4 linked regions of the Schizosaccharomyces pombe genome follow. The protein of the gene in region 3 interacts with the protein of the main gene of each other region in a biochemical or structural test. Each region holds a gene or a part of one and is shown on either strand. Other genes may lie near its edges.

Region 1 (6,283 bases), 760 kb from region 3:
CTCTCCCAAGAAGAATGAACAAGATGCATGGATAGCTAAAAAGCGTCGTCAACAACGTTACACTACAGAAGAAATGCGAGCATTGGCAAAAAGATTTCGGGAAACTTATCCGCGTTATAAGAATTTATATTTAAAAGTCTCTTCATATTATGATAATAATGATACTAATAATCCTAATTTAAACAAGCTCCAAGATGAACTTATATCTCTACATTCTCAGCTCAAAAGCTGGAAAAATACACTTTACGATGCTTCCTCGGAGCTAGCCCTCTAACTTTTCTCAATAAATTTCCGGTTTTCTTAACACTCAGTTTTATTTCCAATGTTTTATAAAGGTGACGGTTATCTCAGCTTCAATTCAAAATTGTTTCAATACTGTACGGTGCCTACAACGAGTGCAGGCTGTTTTTTCCTGCTTTCGTTAAGGCTAGTGTTTCGTTTAAAAGATAAATTGGTTAAATTCATATTCAATTAGCAGTTTATTGAATATTAGTTTGTTTTTGATTTTATAATGAGAATCTTGTTATTGTGATGCTTTTTTTAAACTTTTATGACATATCTTTAAGTTAGTTAAACTGCGTGAATTCCTTATGTGCTATCACTTTTTTTTGGGCTTAAAAGTACCACTGATGAGTCCTTTCGTTTAATCTAATTTATTTTGTTTTTCTTACCACCTTTCATGAAATATTCCGCCAAAATTTTTTTTCTACATTAGTACAAAGTGACCCTGAAACAAAAACTATCATTAAAATGTTTAGGTATTCATTGATCCGTTGATTACTGATTTACCTTCATAAGTCATCTAATATAAATATTTGGAGACCAGCTTCTTTCACAGCTTAACCAGCGCTGATAGCAAAAAAGTAAATTCTATTTTCGTTTATCAGAAGCAAATATTTAATCAATTAAAATTAAAACTTTTATTTATCAAATATCGGTAATAACTACAATGTGTAATGGTATATAACCTTCAACACGGTCGTCCTTATTTTTGCCTTTCTTATATTGTTTTATTTAAAAAGGATACAAAGTTAATAAAATACAACAGAAACAAAAAAAATTGCAATTCTTTTATATAACCTCCTTAAGCCAGCGGTAATAATGCGATGGCAAACGTCGATGTTCACGCAAACCTACAGAAACTACATTGATATCCACTTCTGGCTGCCATAGTTGGCATTGTCTAGAAAGGGCACCACTAACATTAGTAGAAGGGTGAACCGGTATAATCAATCCTATAGACCCTAAAGTTTCCCATGCTTCCAAAGCAACATCCCTTCCCCATAATCGACTGCTATGAGCTAGAGCTCCCGATGCTGCGGCATTTATAACGGAAGATTGATGCAGTTGTCGATATTCTTGATAAGCACTATTAAAGTTGCAAGCTGGAATATCCCTAGCTTCAAAGCGAACTGCACAAATCAATAAAGCCAACTCCAACAAACTTAAATTCTTTACAAGTTCAACCTTATGGTCAGAAACTTTGAGACTGATATTGGCGAAGTCTTCATCAGCAAGTAATGGACGATCAGGTGCCATGGAAAGTATGGGAAATAATAAATCAACATACAATAATTTTAAATTTCTGCTTGCAAAATAGTGATGTTGTACCAATTTATGTAAGTGACTTCGTGTATCGGAAAGCAATTCATCCACTCTCTGGTTCCAGCATGTTATTATTTGGTCTTTTCCGCCTTCGTCAGAAACATACAAAACAGATTTTAAAATTTGCTCAAATTCACTAAGCGAAGAAGGTGGTCGCATGGGAATTACCATGTGACTAAACCTACTTTTTACTCGCTTTTCAAGTGATTCAGAACAATCATAGCGAGTAGTCAAGCCTATGATCAGTATCGGGGCTTTCCTCGATTGAGCAATGTCAAACAAGTTATACAAGAGCATTTGCCGTGAATGCTGAACAAACAGGTCAAACTCTTCTAAAACAAATATCACGGCTGCAGACGTTGTCATTACGTCTTCTGCAATTCCCAAATCCACGGGATGAGACAATGTAGCTAACAATTTTGTAAGTGTATCAGAAAAGTTCATTTCTGATTTTAATGCTTCATCAGACTCGATAGATTCAAGTTCAATAGATAATTGTCGCGATATTTCACGCAAAGCTAGTTTGTCATCTGTCTGGTACGTACCATTCAATCTTACGACATAACTTTTTTCATTTATTTCCTGAGCTGCGCGTGATAGTATATCATCCACGAGAACTGATTTTCCAGAACCCCGTGGACCGACAATAATGACAGAATTACCTTCGCCAAGTACTATAGTTTGTCGGACCCATTGATAAAGCTTTGTCTGTTCATCCATATGTCCTACAAGAGGGATATGGCTTTTCCCACACAACCTTGCAGCAATCGTAGATTTAATAGTATGTAACTGTGAGTCAATTTCAGAATATGGGACGTCATTAAATACAGACTCAACGACAGGATTAGGATAAAGTTTATGCTGACTCTTTTTAGGAGAAATAATAGCAACTTCGAAATTAGGTTTTTTGGGAGGAGGTGTAAATTGAGATTGTCGAAGAAGGGGTAATCTGTCAGATGAAGGAAGTAGTGGAGAAACTGAATTGGGTGATGAAGATTCGGATTGCGGAGTTGCTGAAGAGGAGTGAACAGAGGAATCGGTTAAACCAGGTGTGATATTACGAATTTCCGCATTCTCTTGACGCTTTTTCGGTGGTCGTCCACGTTTTCTAGGAAGCAACGGAGCTGATTCTCGCTGTTGATTATTAAGGAACTGTTGATTATTAGGAGATGTAATAGCAAAATGTTTAAGTGACAACGCGTCTGAGTCATGAAGCATATCCTCATGTTTTCTAGTAAAGGCGCTTAAAGGTACAATTCCACTAGCTATTTTTGGAGGTCTACCACGCTTTCTTTTAAAAAGGGATTGTGATTTTGAATCTAAAGGCAAGCCACTCGGTCTTTCAAGGCGAGGTCTTCCTCTACCTCGTTTGGGTCTATTTTCATCTATTTTATTTTCAGTACTTGTCCCAAAAAGTATCTTGGGCTTATTTAAAGGAGGTCGTCCACGTTTCCGCTTTACTGGGACGTCTGCAGTAGAAAATAAAGGTTGATCTGTGACTACAACTTCCTTCCGTATTTCAGATTGTGGATTCAATGAATAGAATTCAGAAGAAGATTGTTCATTTTCTGGATTCAACTGTGAATGAGTATGTAGATTTGTACCTGTCGATTCAACCGTTACATTATTCGAAATTGGAGTATTTGCAATCTTCTGTTCAGATCGATGTAAAGGTGGACGCCCGCGCCCTCTTTTCGCAGGTAATACTACCAAAGGAGAAAGCCCATTTTGACTTGAGCTCCCTTCTTCTGGTTTTATTTTTCGAGGTCGTCCACGCCCTCTCTTTGGCTTCAGCTCACTTAAATTGGCATGCCCTTCGGCAAAACCTTCTATGATATTCGGCTCATCTAACCCCATCTGTAGATTATTTTGAGTTGTTCCCTCATCTACAGACGGTTGCACTACTGGGAGAGGATGTAAACGAGGACGTCCTCTACCTCTTTTAGGCTTTAAGGGATCATCTAGTTTTGTGGAAGGAGAAGAACTTTTTATTTTTGGAGGTCTGCCACGCTTCCGTTTGATTATAGGCTCCGATCCTTCGTCAATTGGTTTTGGTGGATATTTTCGAGGTCTTCCACGTCTGCGAGGAGCTTCATTGAGACGCAAAGGTGAAGGTGAAGGCGGAGCTAAAGTCGTAGTTGAAATATTATTATCCTGAAATAAAGTGACAGCGGCAATATCTTGCAATTTTGCTTGAGAGGCAGTTAATCCATTATTTGCATCATCATTCGTAGAATTGGGATACTGCTGATCATCATTACCACTTGATAAATTTTGAACATTTGAGGTCTCATTAGTTATGTTTGTCTGGTATTCATTTTCCTTATTTTCATAGATTGCTTCTGTGTCCAAATTCCCAAGATTTGTGAATGGGGATGAGCTCATATTAAAAACTTGAAGATGCACATCCCTATGGTTTTTATACACTGTAAAAATAATGATCCTCTAAATTTAGCCTTTTTATTAACAAATGCAATTAATTGGTCTCTTTTCTAATTATTTTTTTCAATTTCCTCTTGACTTGACAGATGCAGGGTGTTACTTCGATTCTTGGTAAAGGTGAGCAGTAAGATTGGCGTACAGCCTTAAGGACAGGGCCAGTATAGAAATATATTTTTGAAGCTGAAATAATGACTAGGTAATAGTAGTAATAATCTAAAACTATTTTAATCTTTTTCAAGCGATGCTGATGACTATAATTATTTACTTGTTGCATTTATTTGTAAAACCATACATGTATGAAGGGAATGAATTTCAACAGATTCATTAAATATTCATTTTTTATTAAAAAAAAATAGTTCGTTAAAATTAAGGAATGAAGTAAAACACTTCACTTTTGAAATGAGTAATTACCATAAAGCTTTGTAAATTCATACATAAAAGTAGTGAATAGCTGAAAGGAGTCTCAATAGCTATACAAGGTGCCTAAAATTCAAGAGAAAAAATCAAATCTGTTTTTGCTAGCTTTGGTCCAGCAGGTAATCGTACATTAATCAGTAAGTCAAGATATTAATGGTTTATCAAGAATATCCGAAAAATTAACCATATTTGTCGCTCCTTGAAGATACTCGTAAATCTAGTAATGCTTCATGAAGAACTCCTTCCTTAAACGCTTTTTTGAGGGTCTTTTTTTCATCGGTAGAAAGTTTTCTTCCAGCCCTGTAAAATTACAAAGTTAGAATGACGAAAGTAGAAGGGAAACCCCAATAAAATAGAATAGCATAACTTACATAGATTCTAATTGTCTGGAATGTATGGTTGGGTTGTCAAATAAAGAAGACTTGTTTTTCTTTAGGAAACGAGTTTGTACTCGAATTCTCCATTTGGCTTCAGGAATGACAGTGTCAGAGACACATGCAATGGCCTGATCTTGTTTTTCTCTACTTAATGTTAAATATTTTTTCGTTGATACACTTTTCCAAGCCCAAAATCCTGAGCCCAGATTCTCCGCTATCCATTGTTCCTGTGATCCTACCGCCTCTTGCGTACAATACAAGTCTCCAGACTTACTACATGACATGTATTTACCTAAACAGCTTTTCAATAGTATAGTATTGTTCAGTATGGATAACAAAAACACCTGGCGCGTCAATTCTGGCTCTAGCGAAACTTTGTCGAGGGGAAGAAGAACGCAACTTTCTTTAACTTCTTCAATTCCAAGAGATACACCAGCATCATCGTCTATTTTACTACATAAAGTTGTAAGTAAATTAGAAAAAAAGGTATAAGAATATTGAAGTTAAGCTTACTATATAACCGCTGGACCCTCAAGCTCATTTAGCTCGTTTGCGTCCGTCCAAAAAGGATCGTTTTCAGCTGATTCTAGAGAAGATTGAAGTGATTTTGTGTTCTTTTTTTTCTTCTTTTGACTGATTTCTTGTTAGTGATGAACAATATAATATGAATTACCACATTCGAGCAGTTATTTCATTTTATCTTACATCTTTTTGTCTCCCTTGAAAGTTAATCGCATAGACATTTTACCATCAGTAAATTACCAAGAATTTAAACGATTAAAAATCCTTAAAAATGATAATTGTTAATAATGGATAATGACTAAATATTTATGCGTGGTTTTCGAGGAAAAAGCAAGTAGTGGGAGTAGTGTTAAGGATTTGAACAGACCAGATGCTTCTTCGTGCTGAAATCCAATATGTTCTGAGGAATAGGCAAGGTACTCTTAGCAAAACAAAAGAGGTTCAAACGTTTTTAATAAGCAAGGAAATGCTTTATATGAATAGAAATGTTCTGTTGCTCACAATGTGACTTTTGTGACCCATGCTAATGTTGGTTTGTAAAATGGATGATTTGCATAACATTCTAATGGCTTGAGAAAGAAAAAAAATGTGCTTAATTGAATGATAATTTTGAATATAGATGAGAGAAGAAGTATGCACCGAAGACTAGCATTGTTCAATACCAAAAACATTCGTTGAAGGACGAGTCATATTCCAAAAAAGGAAGTCCATTGATGACAATAAGAATTTTTTTTTGCTTATTCAGTTGAAAGCTTACAAAAGATGAGCACTGTTTCAATTTACTTATTACTATGTGAATAAGTGTAGCCATAATACCTGCATATTAAAAACAGCACAAAAGTGGATGAAAATATTTGAGTGATAAAAAAACAATAGTATTAATTTTGTTATTTAATCTATTAACTTGATTATTGTTGTAC
Region 2 (4,762 bases), 1.8 Mb from region 3:
TATGGATTTAGCTATTTGTTGTAATCTAACCTTTTGTTTAGTCACATCTATTTTACTACTACTTCATCAATTCCATACTGGCTTACTGTTTCGTAAAATTGCTGAGTTACCAAAAACAGAGCAAGCAATTTTGAAAAGTGAACGTACTCAGTACTTAGAATATTTCAGAAAAAAGAATCCTTCCTTCGAAAAAGTATCGGAACTTCTATACTTTCTAAACATATCGACGTTCCCCATCGAGCTTGTAATTTCTAAATACAATCCATCAAGACAGTATGATTCTGTCCTATTCTTGGAATCAGTCAAGTACGGAAATCTACTTTTCGATTAAAATTGTTAACAAATATTAGATTTTTACTTCGGGTTCACATTATGTGGACTACTGGAGGTGATCTTCCGCTCTCTAATCCTGTATTGCAGCGCGATTTCAATGTAAAGACTTTCATTCATCTTCACAAGAAATACTCTAATTCAGGAAGTGCTGTTGTGTTAAAAAACTCCAAGAAAGTTGTTCCCAGACTTAATACAGTCAATTCATCGCTTGACTTCTTGCAAAACCGAACTCCACGTCTTTCTTCAATTCTACCAGATGAGATTTTTACAAAAAGACTTCCCAATCTACGGATTTTTTCTAATTTTATTAAAGTTTGTCGTCCGCTTATCTATATGTTGTTTATGTGGCATTGGAAAAGAAAGCAAAAATCGAGTTCTCTTAAAGTTCGACCTTGGGGGCCTTGGATTGTAGCGTTTGTTTTTGAAGTTATTTCTCAATTAATTGATCGAAGATGTGAATCAGCGACTTCTAGTCGCCAGGGGTTTGGACTAGAACGCCGGACAAATCAAAGTCAGTTTCAGCATTTTGTGGTTTGGGCGTTTACTCAAGGACGATTTTATGATGAGTTTACCAAGTATGTAATTTATTTGAAAGGTTTTTATAACAAAATGTCGTTTTTCAACTCACTAACTAATTTAGACACTGGATAAATCGTTCCCTAAGCTGGGTTAATTCAATACCCGTTTTTGGTAAATATCTACTTCTTTCAGTTGAGGAAAGACAAAAAAGTCTCGAAAATTATATATCCTCTGGTATGATATTGATATTTTTACTGCTACTAACCTTTCATTCAGTTAGAAACTATTAAGGAAGCCTTGATGACCAGAACCTATAGAAATCCTTTTCTTATTTATTTAACTCGGTGTTTTTCTCTCTCTTGATTTCAGTATTGTTAGTATTTCATTTATCTACTACGTCTTTTGTTGCTTTGATGATTAGTCTTCATTCTTCTATAAAACTCAGTACACTTTTATCGAAAATAAAGCAAAAGCTTCAACATTGCATGCTACGAAGATTAGCAACGTTATCCATACATGAGTCAATCAGTATCTGAAATCTGCGGTGCAGATATGTAAGGTTTAAATAAGACTTTAAATTTCACAACTAAAGAATGCTGTGTTAAATTCAGACAAAGGAAAAGATGTAATACACTGAAATTCGGATATTATGATGAGTTCATATCAATTACTAAAAAATGCATTTTGATTTTTTTAATAACATACTTAAAACAGTTAACGGCTAGATTACAAATTAAATCTAAGCAATATTTAATTCTACGTACTCCGCACTAGGCCATTTATTCAAAAATAATTTTGGCTATGCATTAGCGGTGAAGAAGTTAGTATTGAAAGTGAATTAGCTAGGAGAAAGAAAACTTCTAATAACTCAAGCGAAACGAACTTCTGTTCTTTACTACTATTAATCAAATATATTACAAAAAATAAAATTTTATAATTCTATTTTAGAATAACTGTTTAAGCACATTTTGTTACGACAAGGCTTCTCAATAAAATACACCTTGAACCAAGTACAACGCTTATAGTAAACAATCAATTAAGATTTCAATAATTCCAAAGTTTAAATTGTATTTGAAATGTACGAATATTATTCTTCGTTTTCCATTAATTACCTTTCGTTTATTTGTATAAATTAGTCCACTAGTTTTTGCTTCGAGCGATGAATGTTTCACTGCACGACACCATATGCCAAAGCATAAGCATATTGCCATGAAATGCATTTGTATCAGTTGGAAGACGAATTAAAAAAGAATGTCTTTTGCAGGGAAGATCAAATAAAGAAACTTTCATGTTTACTTTTTAATAAGGATTGTCGTGTTCCAAGCATTGTGCTTTACGGAGTTGCTAGTACAGCAAAGACTTTTTTATTGCGGACCGCTTTTGATTTGTCAAAAGAAGAAAATGTTTGGATTAATTTGCAAGACTGTTTTACAGTCGCTCATTTCTGGTACCGGATCCTTATAAAAGTCGGTGTTGACAAAGATATAGCATTAAAAAAAGGCATTAATATCAGTGGATTTATTTATTTACTGGAACAGGCAATGTCCAAAAGGGACTATCATACATTTTTGGTACTTAGTTCCTCTCCTATTTTATTACTCTTAAATACTAATATGAGTTATAGGTGCTGGATCAAATAGATGATTTCGCTGAGGCTTCTACTATTCTATTCTCACAATTAGCTCAGCTTCCGATTGTTGTAAGTAAATATTTACAGACCCACTGATTAACTATTTTAGGCAAACATTCCCAATCTGTCAATCATTTTTGTACTTCATTCTCACCCTGCTCAATACTTGGGAACATTGTCTATTGCAGTGATTTTTTTCCCACAATATACCCAAGCGGAAATATTAGAGATATGCCAAAAAACACCTCCTAATTTAGATTTTTTGGATAGATCTGGCGATAGTGTTTTTGAAGACGAAATTGAGCTCAGCGTCTGGATGCAATATTGCTCGTTTCTTTGGAGTGTTTTTGGAGTGCAGTGCTTAAATGACTATAGGTCTTTTCGTAGTGTTTTGGATAGATATTGGCCAAAGTTCATTCAACCTATAGTTGAAGGAGACATACATCCTGCTGATTATGCTCAACTTCACAAGCTGGCTAAAAACTTTTTAGTGTCAGATGCTACGGTTACTAAAAGACTTCACATAATCAACCCGACTGAAATAAAAAATCTTCTTGATTCCAAATCTATTAACTTGTCGCTCGTTTCCAAATATTTACTCGTTTCTGCATTCCTAGCATCTTATAATCCAAGCCGGTTAGACGCCCAATTTTTTTCATTTTCTAAAACTTCGAAACGACGTGGAAGAAAACGTAAACAAATTCAAGATGAAGGGGTTTTATTTTCCAAAATACCAAGAACCGCTGGGAGCAAAGGCCGGTCTGCTGTAAAAATATCCCAACTTACATTAGGACCTAAACCTTTTGAAGTAGAAAGGTTGATTGCTATTTATTATGCCATTTCTTCCCCGGTAGAGAAAGTTCTGACCGCTGATGTTTTTGTTCAAATAGCTACACTCGCCTCCTTAAAAATGATACTTTCGGCTTCCAAAGGTGTGCTTCGCTCTTTGGATAGCCCTAGATACATTGTCAATGTCTCTCGCGAATATGTATTAAAAATCGCAGATTCACTTTCGTTTCCTCTCGATAGTTATTTGGCGGGATAGCTTAGTATTATGGTTTATTTTATTGCATTACTGAAATTTTGAATATCGTAGTTCTGTCACAATTCATTAATTTATACAGAACTATATGAACATCCATTCTATCTCCCCATAACATGTTATTTTACTGTTTAAAGGGCCCAAAACTTAAAAAACATATTTTTTTTTGTTACTTCTGGAAAATAAAAGAAAATGTACACTACAAACAATTCGATTACGCCTCTGTGATTCTGTGTAAACTGTTACGTATTTAACATTATGGAAGTTGGCAAAGCTGTAAAAAGCAAAAACTAGCGCCGAAAACACTCTTGACAAAAAAATAAAGTAATGTGCTGCTAAGATGGATACATAATATATATCAAGAGGCAAAGTTTCAATCATAACTCTGATATAAAAGTTAACCCTCTGAAAGAGCTACTCTGCTGCCGTGTAAATCAACAACGGGAGACAATTCATTAATAAGAACATATGTATAAAGAAAAGCGTCCGTCAGTTAACGTCAAAACATAAGTAAAAGTATATTTTTAATGGTTAATAAGAAATCATTGGAGATTTAACCAAAATCTTATCCATTTAAAGATGATTAAAAATAAGTATCAAAACCCGTTCATGAAATATGGAATGTTAGAGGTAACAGTAAAAGATGAAATAAAACGGAGGTTCAAATGAGAAAAAGAAAAAAGGGTGTTTCAAATCATCAAATATTTAGCATCACCGACGTTGTGTATCTACACTAGCTTTGCTATGGCTACGATGGCTGCTTGTGCTTCCTCGACGTCCATGTCTAAGCGAAGGAGCACTATGGGGAGCGGGTGGAAGAGTGCCTTTCATGTGAGCATATAAAACAGATATGATATCAGTTAAGCTAACAACGCCCAACAATTGATTGACCTTAACACCACCCATGGATCCAGGGGAAAGATGTGCGTTATTTTTTGGGGAAGGAGGGCAGGAAGGTGACTGCACAAGCCAAAGACGATGACATTGGGTAGCCACCAACTTAGCCAACGTAAAAGCAAAAGTAGAGGATTCATAGATGTTAAAAGCAGGAGCACTATCCTTACCAGCGCGGATACCCTGTTCGCTTTTAATGACACTCAAAAAGTGAGCACATGATTTGTTTAACAAATAGACAGAAGAAGAACGTGTAACGTATTTAACATCAACGAGAGATATGTTGCCAAGTAACCGGAATTGAGCATCGACAACAGCAAGTGAACCAATACCGGTTTGATTCA
Region 3 (4,749 bases):
ACTCCGTCTATATTCTTGTACATTTTTCGGTATTATTTGTTTTCATGCAAATTCCGCGCATATTCTCCATAGCATGACAAAACACAGTGGATCGATTGTACTGAACACCCGCTACAAATAAATTTACAAATGAGAGACAAAATTAATATCATACTTTAAGGAATCAACTACTAAGCTGAAGATGCTGAATACTTGAACTTTTATTTGAGAGTACGAAAATTAGAATCTCAAAGGAGTGAAGAACCAGGCAGACTTTCCGGATTGGTACTTCTCTTCGAAAGTCTTTTTGACAGTCTTTCTAGCAGCTGAGCGTTGAGTGGGCTCCTTGAAGGTGTCAGCAGTGATAAGGCCCTTAAGGTTGTCGAGTTCAAGAGCATAACGAGTAGGCATCAAGTGGTTGTAGTTGACAACCTTGATAAAAGGCTTGACTCTAGAACGCCTAGCAATGCGCTTGGCACCCATAGATTTGGTGACCTTTAAAGGGTAGCGCTCGACACCAGCAACGACGGCGTGTCCAAAGGGATGGGACTTTGAGCCTTGGTCGATGGCTTGAAGGATTACAACCTTCTTACCCGCAAAACGGCCTCTTGTGATAAGAGCAACCTATTTTGAAATGTTAGTAAAGCGTACTACTTAGTAAATCATACCTTTCCTGGCTTGAGAATCTTCACCATTGTTGTGTTGTAGGACAATCATAGGTGGACGATTTCTCGACAGCACGAAACTTTGTGACTGCTTTTAATATGTTTGCGCAATGTAGGCAGCACTGCGATGAACCCGATTAAAAAGAGTTTCGTAAATCAATATTCAGTAACAATAACAACACTTTCTTATTCTATTTACCGAATATAGCGAAGCTTCAAAATTCAGCCCTCTCTAATACAATAAATATTGGATGTTTAGTTCTCACTGATACATTGATAGAAATAAAGTCATTTATGTTTATTTTAAAGAGAAAATAAATTTCTGAGAATACTTATACTTGCATATGGAAAGGCCGTATTAACAGAGTTCGGTACCGATATGGGATTCTTAAAACACTAGAAATACTATAATAAGGAGGTTTTATCTACATAATTACATACATACTTTGCTTGAGCGAAAACAGCTTCTATATTTTAACCAATAAATCTTGAATATTAAACAAAATAACTTAAATTATTTCATAGATTTTTTAACAATATCTGGAACTAGCTTCTCAATATCCTAGTCCGTTTGCTCCGTAGCTTTCGAAAACTCAAAGCGCTCAACGAAGTTGAGAATGAGCATCGTCCTTTCCACAACTTCAAGTTAATTTGTTTTTCTGTTTTCCTTACTTGAATAGTTGATATTTACCATGGTACGTATTTTAGTTTTAAAAAATTTAATTAACTAGGTTCCTCAAGGTGCTTGTGAAGTTTAAGCGTGAAAAGTTAACTGTTATGCTAGAAGTTCAACCAGGCCTGTCCGTTTACGATGCAGTAAAGCTTTTAAAAAGCGCGCTTAACTTACCTCCAGATTCGATTCTAAGAATTGGATCTTTTGAGCAAAATGACTGGGTAGCAATGGAAAATGATGCACTTTCAAAAACCATCATCACTAATAACACTGAATATGCATTTGCAGAAGGAGAAGAACCACTACTAGTGGAAAAGCCTAAAGATTATGATGATATGTCTGAAGAGATTTCCCCTTAAAACACACTTCATTCATCAGCTATCTATCAATTGGCATACATGTTTCCACACTCAAAGTGTTATAAAAACTATTTATTAACCTGAGACTACCAGATAGTGCTAGTATTATTTCGATAATATTTCTTCTGCTCTTTGTTACAATCACCAAAAGACATGTTTCCCAAGCTATGGAATACTTTTAATCCCGAATCGTCATTCGAACAAAAATAATACATTTTTTCTGATCATATTTTCGAGAATTTTAATCCATTTCATTTATTTGCTAGTATGGATTCATTTTACGAAGTAGAACGTATCCTAAAATGCTAATAAACGAGCACGTACGAGAACGCTATCATTTTCTTCGTGTCTCTCTTACAAGAGTCGCACATCTTGTCTTTGCTAACAGTCATGAAAGCAATGACTTAAAAATGGTTGAAAACGTATCTTCAACGCCTAAAAAAGGAGTTCTTGAAGATCCTTCTACATTAACACCAGAAGTTGTTACTCCTCGAACACCAGGACATCGAATTATAAAAGCTAAGGGTGCATATACCAAAGACCGTTCAGCTAAAAGGCGGCGAGGTAGAATTGAGATTGAAAGGCATTTATTGGGAGAATTTGATGATAATGTTGGTTCGAATTCACTACTTGATGTTCCGCTCTATTCTTTAGAGGCCGAACCTCTTTCACCATCTGTGATGCTTGAGGATGAAAGCATGGAAGGAATTAATCAATCTCCCCAAGGTATTTCCGTGGAGAAGCTAGGAAAAGAAGATAACAGAAGTCGTTCTTCCACACCTGCCTCGCCATCTCTTGAAAGCCATGAGTTTTCTGAAAGTAGAGAAGCCGGCTTATCTCAATCAAACGGCTTTGAAGCGAGGAGTCATGGCACGGGGTTTGATGAATACTTTGATAAATTTTCTCAGCGAAAAACTTCGAGCAACACTTTATCTCAGTTGCCTGTTTTGGATAATCAAGTATACCTAGATACTGTAAAGGAAATCTGTACTGAAACCGAGCAGCACACTCAAACTCTAGTTCATTTTCAGTCTCGTAATTTTCATCAATGGTATTTTGAACTTGTGAATAATTTTAATTTACTGTTTTACGGGTTTGGTTCTAAAGAGCATTTTCTATCTTCTTTTGTTGAAAAAAAACTTCCTTGTTTCCCCATTTTTGTCGTAAAAGGCTACTTCCCTCAGTTACAGTTAAAAAATGTTCTTTCATCCTTTCTTGAATTTTTAGAGGTCACACCTGCTGCGTCTGTATCTGATATGTTAATTCAATCTTTGAGTATTATCAATTCTCCCTCTTTTTCGTTAGGAAAAATCGTGTTTCTGGTTCATAATATCGATGGTGAAAGTCTAATTGACGAACGATTTCAATCTGCTTTGGCGGCCATAGCTTCTTCAAAAAATGTGTATTTCATTGCTTCTGTGGATCATGTAAATTTTGCACTTTTATGGGATACATCTCTAGAGTCTTCGTTTAATTTTGTCATGCACGATGCGACTACCTTTGCACGGTATTATAATGAGACTACATATGAAAATTCTTTAGGTATCGGAAGAGCGAATGTGTCTAATAAAGAGAAAGCTATAAAGCACGTTCTCTATTCTTTGCCCGCCAATTCTCGCGGTATATTTAAGTTCCTTCTAATTCACCAACTCGAACGCATGATGGATACTCAAGATTTTGATGCCCGCCAAGGTGAAAAAGTCGGTATTGAATATCGTTCTTTCTTTCAAAAATGTAGCGCTGAATTCCTTTGCAGTAATGAACCCAATTTTCGAAGTCAACTCACAGAATTTTTTGACCATAACATTATCGAATCAAAAAGAGATGTATCAAATTCTGAGATTTTATGGGTACCATATCCCAAAAATCTCCTTGAAATTTTGTTGGAGGATATGATGGAAGACGTATAAAATAGGACCCTTTTAGACTAGGTTACGGAACATTAGAGTATAATTTATGTATTTCTTTGTAAATAGATATTTCACGATCCATAATAATAATTGTTTGTTAAAAATTTACTATTTTTTTTTATCAATTATGCACATTGGTGCAATTGTATGTAGTATTTCGAAAGCAATTCATTATCGATATTTAACATAGTAATTGAATACAGTATAGTTTTAGGATTTCACATCTTATATCTAACCATCTCTAATAATCCTAGTATCAGCATTGTAAATACTTAAATTCAAAGAACAAGAACCATATATCGTTCTTCATGAAGCTAGTACAATCTCAATCATTTGTAATTACAGTAATCTGTTCACCAAACGAACAGAATCTTTAAATAATATTGATTTCATCCCTCTAAATCCGAAGTCGCTTTTTGTAAATACGCGTTTACAAAGACAACGAGTTTAAAAACAATGACCATTTATAAGTATACCTAAATGAAAAACAACTGGTTTGAGTCAAATATTACCAAAACCAAACTTTAAAAAAATAACACAGAAATTATCAAAGGTTGTTTGTAAAAATAATTAAAAAAAAACAATTAGGAGTCGCTAGCCTCAGCATGCAAAGCTGTGATAAAAAGCTTAGATAAAAATGATGGGAAATTTTAAATTAACAATGTGGGATAAAGCGGGATAAAGAAGGCATATTAACAGCAATCGGTAAATTTATGATTTAGCAAAGGGTAACGGATGGTCCACAAGATACTGTTTGCAAAGTAATTTCTGTTCCTTAAGTTCAGCAACAAATTCAAGCAAACCATTAAACTCCCATCTACCAAATAGCAATCCAATACAGAAACCATTGACTACTGCTGCGATGGTAAGCATTACCGTGAAGAAAAGGATGATAACCTTTAACCAAGCGGGATCACACCATGCGATGGCAACATGTACTCCTATAATTAAGGGAATAGAAATAAGTAGATGAGCAATTCGAAGTCTCATATGAAGACGTTCACGAGCCATGTATTGATATGTAATTCCTAAAGTATCATCAATGATGGAATAAGATACACGAGTTTCTTGAACTGGTATTGGTTGCAATTTTATAGACAAAACAGTCTCGATTGCAAAGTGATCAGAATAACTGCAATCCAATTTGGGAACACGTTCAAGAA
Region 4 (3,992 bases), 190 kb from region 3:
ATATTTAGATTTTGCCAAGTCTCATTTAATAATTGACTATGTTATATTCTTCATCAATATATTATTTCAATGAGAAAAACGTATCCAATTACTTCAAATTTAGCATTTCTGTAATTTTTTAATTTCATTGAAAAGTATGCTTTAATTGAGTTTTTTTCTGCCCCTCACATTCTACGGACTTAAAATAGGTGTATCTATTCATGCATATTCATTCATTCACCATCGTAATCCACCAAAAGGCAAATTACTCTAATCCTCCAAAATACAGATTCGTTTCGAACAACATACCCATACTCTACTATCTTCTTGTTCTTTCAATTTATTACATATAACGGCTTGTTAAGCTGCATTCCTAGAGTTTCTTTCGCAATATGGGAAAATTTGCTCTTAACTTAAACGCTGAGTTGACTGGTGTGAAAAATTTAGCTCCCAAGGATGAAGAATCCTTCTATTATGCTTTTAAAGTCCAATGTAGTGGTTGTCGAGAGATTCACGACAATGCCATTGAAATCTCCCGCAGCGAGACTCACAGCATACCTGGCAGCAAGGGCGAGGCTAATCTCATATGGACGTGCAAAAATTGTCGCAAAACTTGCTCTTTCGTTATAGAGGGGCCATTCTCTCCTTACAATGATTCTCAAGAGACGAAAAAAGTTCTCGTATTGGAATGCAGAGGATGTGAACTAGTCGAATTCATTCCTCAGGGAGAATGGATAGCTAATGGTGCTGAAAGTAATACACTTTTTGACGAAATAGTATTAGAGGATGATTGGTATGACTATGATGAAAATGCCTCTTCAGAAGTGTCTATTACAAATTTGGAGTGGTCTATTAGTAAAGCTTAGAGTCTAATTTAACTTTTTTTTACTCATGTATTTGTATATATCACTAAAGATATCGTGTACCCGTTTATAAATGTTGTTTAATGTACAAAAAAAAATTAATATAGTAAATTGTATTCATGAAGCAGTACCATCTTTTTCAAGCTGGCTTTTGTAATATTGGATTCTTTCTTCAATGCAGGCCTTCCATATTGGATAATTTTGAAGTCGTTTTTCGTAATCTATTTGAATCATGCTTGCTATCCCACTCCAAGGTTTTATCCGTTGCTTTTGAGATTCATAACCCTCTATACCATTTAAAGGGATTTCTTTATACTGCCAACTTTCTGAGAGGACATGCATCCAATACTGAATTTGCAATGCAGAACTTGTATCCTGTAAAACACTCTGTGCCTTTCTTCTCTCGGTGTGATTTATATGAAGTTCGTCTTTTCCAAAAGCTTTTGCCGATACTAGTAAATAAGCTGCGATTATGATGCCTCTTTTGTGTTCGATGCGCATGTCGTTTGTAACAACGGCTTTCACCAATTGTTTAACATAAGGTATAGCAGTTGAGCCCCCTAGTTTGGTACAAAGATAAGTAATGGTTTCCATCAGATCATCTTTAGCTGCTAAGGATTTAGTTAATGGAGATAAGATTTCTTGAAAGTAAGTGAAAAGTTTATAGTATTTCTTTTTTGGAATTGGAGTCGCTAGTAAATTTATTTCCAAATTTAAATCATTGGATAATCTTTTTAAAGAGTCAGAACAAGTTCAAGTAGAGTAATTAAACATCAGAAGTTACTTACAGTTCACAAGCTAAGTGCGCTGCCATATAAGGACGGCATAACTCTTCTGTCGCCTTTAGATTATGTTTATATTTGGACCATTCCAAAAATGACTCTCCTAAACTAATAAGCCGTTCATTATATTCTGTACTTTCAGTGGGAATTATTCTGCGTAAAGACTCTATAATCTGTTGTCGCTCCATGAGAAAATGAATATATTTAATAAAACTTTTATCATTTAATTTTGATTATTAATTATTGAAATCATGTAATCATTCATAATATCATAATAGTGGTGAACGCTTAGTTTGTTTTATGTCAATATGGTGTTTAATACAGAGACATTTAAACGATGTTTTTAATGCTGCTAATACTACCAGCTGTTTCAAAAATATAAAATCTATCTACTTGATGCACCACTGAATTTGGTGTTTATATTCCGTACTTATTTAATATGACTCTTGCTTAATCATTCCGGTTGCTAGTTATCTTAAATAATGTCACCAAAAGCTTAGAATTTAGACCTACATTCTTCAAGATATTACTACAAAACTTTCGAAGCAGTCTTCAAATTTTTTTTTATTTAATAATGAATTACGATTGCTTTATTGGGAGGTAGTGTTTTAGGCTTGATAATTCGGTATATTACTCTCTTTTAGTAGTTTAATCAAGGCTATATGAGGCATACAGAATAAAATATGCGTGAATAGCGTGAGTTAATATTAACTACTTTCCATGTTGGTTTCATAAATTTTAAGCGAACAAACAAGTTTAGGTGGAACCGTTGAATTATTTGATGACTTTTTAAATTTTTAAAGGAAAAAATGATGAACGATCAACTGAATAGTAATAAATTAATCCTTATTGATTGAAAGGTTGGATAATGAAATCGACTTACAACGTTACTGACAGGGTTAAGCTGACGGACTCGCACTTCTCATACAATCTCGGTACTCACCACTTTAGCAATTGAGGAAGTTGAGAAAAGTACTTAACTTTAGCATTAATCATATAGCTCAATGAAAAATATTAAATATGAAAAAAGAACATCATAGCCCTTGGCCGGACTCTTTGAAAGAATTTATTGGTAGATGCATCCAAGACGCTGAGGAAAACAGCCAGCCAGAATTAGAGGATGAAGTAAAATTGCTAATTTCTCGTCAATACGAAATGGGAAACATATGGAATGTTGATTGGTCTTCTATGAATTTAGAATCCCTAAGGAAACTGACAAATGCTCAAAATACAATCATCGAAGATAAAAAAAGAAAGGTTGAGAAGCCTGTTTCTGGAAATCAATTTTCACTTTTAAGTGAAGAAGATGAAGTGGATAAGAAAGAAAAAAGAAGAAGAAGGTTTGAAAATGGTTCTCGTTCTCAAAATAACGCTAAATCTGAAGAGCTAAAAGTCAACCCGGAGAATGGTGCTATTATAGGACGGTCCACAGAATTAGAGAAAAGGTATTTGCGATTAACTTCGGCTCCTGATCCGGATACTGTTCGACCCCTTCCAGTTCTTAAGCAAACTCTCGAACTTTTAAAGAAGAAATGGAAAGAAGAGAAAAACTATGCATATATATGCGATCAATTTAAAAGTTTAAGACAGGATTTAACTGTGCAAAGGATTCAAAATGAGTTTTCTGTATTAGTTTACGAAATACATGCTCGTATAGCTCTTGAAAAGGTACGGTTAATTACTTTAAAATATCATTTCTTCTTCTAACGTTCGACTAGGGTGATGTTGGCGAGTATAACCAATGTCAAACTCAATTATTTCATCTTTACAGTTTTGGTATACCAGGGAATACTAAGGAATTTTTAGCATATCGTATTCTGTATATGCTCTTCACTAAAAATCGATCTGGTAAGTTAATTACGGCTTACTGCTTAAAAGAATATATCTTTTGAATTCAAATTATTAACAATTTATAGAAATGAATAGCCTTCTCGCCAATCTAAAAGAAGAAGACAAAACAAACGCTGCTGTTACACATGCATTAGAAGTCCGTTCGGCGATGGCTACTGGCGATTACTATAAATTTTTCCATCTATATTTAGTCGCTCCCAACATGGGAGGTTATTTGATGGATCTTTTTATTGAGAGAGAACGAGTGCAGGCGATGATAATGATGTGCAAAGCATATCGCCCTTCTCTTACAATGGAATTTTTGGCTAACACACTAGCATTTGAAGAAATGGAAGATTGTGTAAACTTTTTTAGGAGTTGTAATGCTGTATACGATTCAAAAGATCCCAATCGCATACTGATGAAAGAAAGCACGGATAGATTCGAAAAATGCATGAAAAAGCATGCTGTGGTTGATATTAAAGGCCAAATCTAATAATAAAACTACTTCATTCCGCTTTTCTTTCTTTCCTCATAT

What was found.
Region 1: the proteins of orc2 (region 3) and orc4 form a complex in vitro, tested with the Schizosaccharomyces pombe proteins (5 studies listed by BioGRID).
Region 2: the proteins of orc2 (region 3) and orc5 form a complex in vitro, tested with the Schizosaccharomyces pombe proteins (4 studies listed by BioGRID).
Region 4: the proteins of orc2 (region 3) and orc6 form a complex in vitro, tested with the Schizosaccharomyces pombe proteins (3 studies listed by BioGRID).

The regions. Positions count from the first base shown.
Region 1 is NC_003423.3:2,023,250-2,029,532, reverse strand, and holds orc4 (origin recognition complex subunit Orc4), read right to left. Parts: upstream 4,146-6,283; 5' UTR 3,991-4,145; coding exon 1,072-3,990; 3' UTR 857-1,071; downstream 1-856. Other genes in the region: RNA polymerase II transcription elongation factor Ell1, read left to right, coding at 1-274; FRG1 family mRNA-processing protein, read right to left, coding at 4,644-4,764, 4,836-5,294, 5,355-5,474, 5,547-5,584. UniProt on the Schizosaccharomyces pombe protein: Component of the origin recognition complex (ORC) that binds origins of replication. It has a role in both chromosomal replication and mating type transcriptional silencing.
Region 2 is NC_003423.3:951,581-956,342, reverse strand, and holds orc5 (origin recognition complex subunit Orc5), read left to right. Parts: upstream 1-2,025; 5' UTR 2,026-2,066; coding exon 2,067-2,423; exon of another isoform or gene 2,424-2,476; coding exon 2,477-2,551; exon of another isoform or gene 2,552-2,591; coding exon 2,592-3,527; 3' UTR 3,528-4,009; downstream 4,010-4,762. Other genes in the region: Pex16 family peroxisome import protein, read left to right, coding at 42-306, 351-908, 974-1,086, 1,129-1,142; protein sds23, read right to left, coding at 4,236-4,762. UniProt on the Schizosaccharomyces pombe protein: Component of the origin recognition complex (ORC) that binds origins of replication. It has a role in both chromosomal replication and mating type transcriptional silencing.
Region 3 is NC_003423.3:2,779,980-2,784,728, forward strand, and holds orc2 (origin recognition complex subunit Orc2), read left to right. Parts: upstream 1-2,056; 5' UTR 2,057-2,086; coding exon 2,087-3,586; 3' UTR 3,587-3,697; downstream 3,698-4,749. Other genes in the region: rpl2701 (60S ribosomal protein L27), read right to left, coding at 220-603, 648-674; SPOM_SPBC685.08 (uncharacterized protein), read left to right, coding at 1,337-1,339, 1,386-1,676; inositol phosphosphingolipid phospholipase C Css1, read right to left, coding at 4,298-4,749.
Region 4 is NC_003423.3:2,965,175-2,969,166, reverse strand, and holds orc6 (origin recognition complex subunit Orc6), read right to left. Parts: upstream 1,915-3,992; 5' UTR 1,813-1,914; coding exon 1,631-1,812; exon of another isoform or gene 1,574-1,630; intron 1,573-1,573; coding exon 960-1,572; 3' UTR 905-959; downstream 1-904. Other genes in the region: protein ess1, read left to right, coding at 372-845; iss9 (nuclear export factor), read left to right, coding at 2,645-3,292, 3,343-3,472, 3,541-3,950. UniProt on the Schizosaccharomyces pombe protein: Component of the origin recognition complex (ORC) that binds origins of replication. It has a role in both chromosomal replication and mating type transcriptional silencing.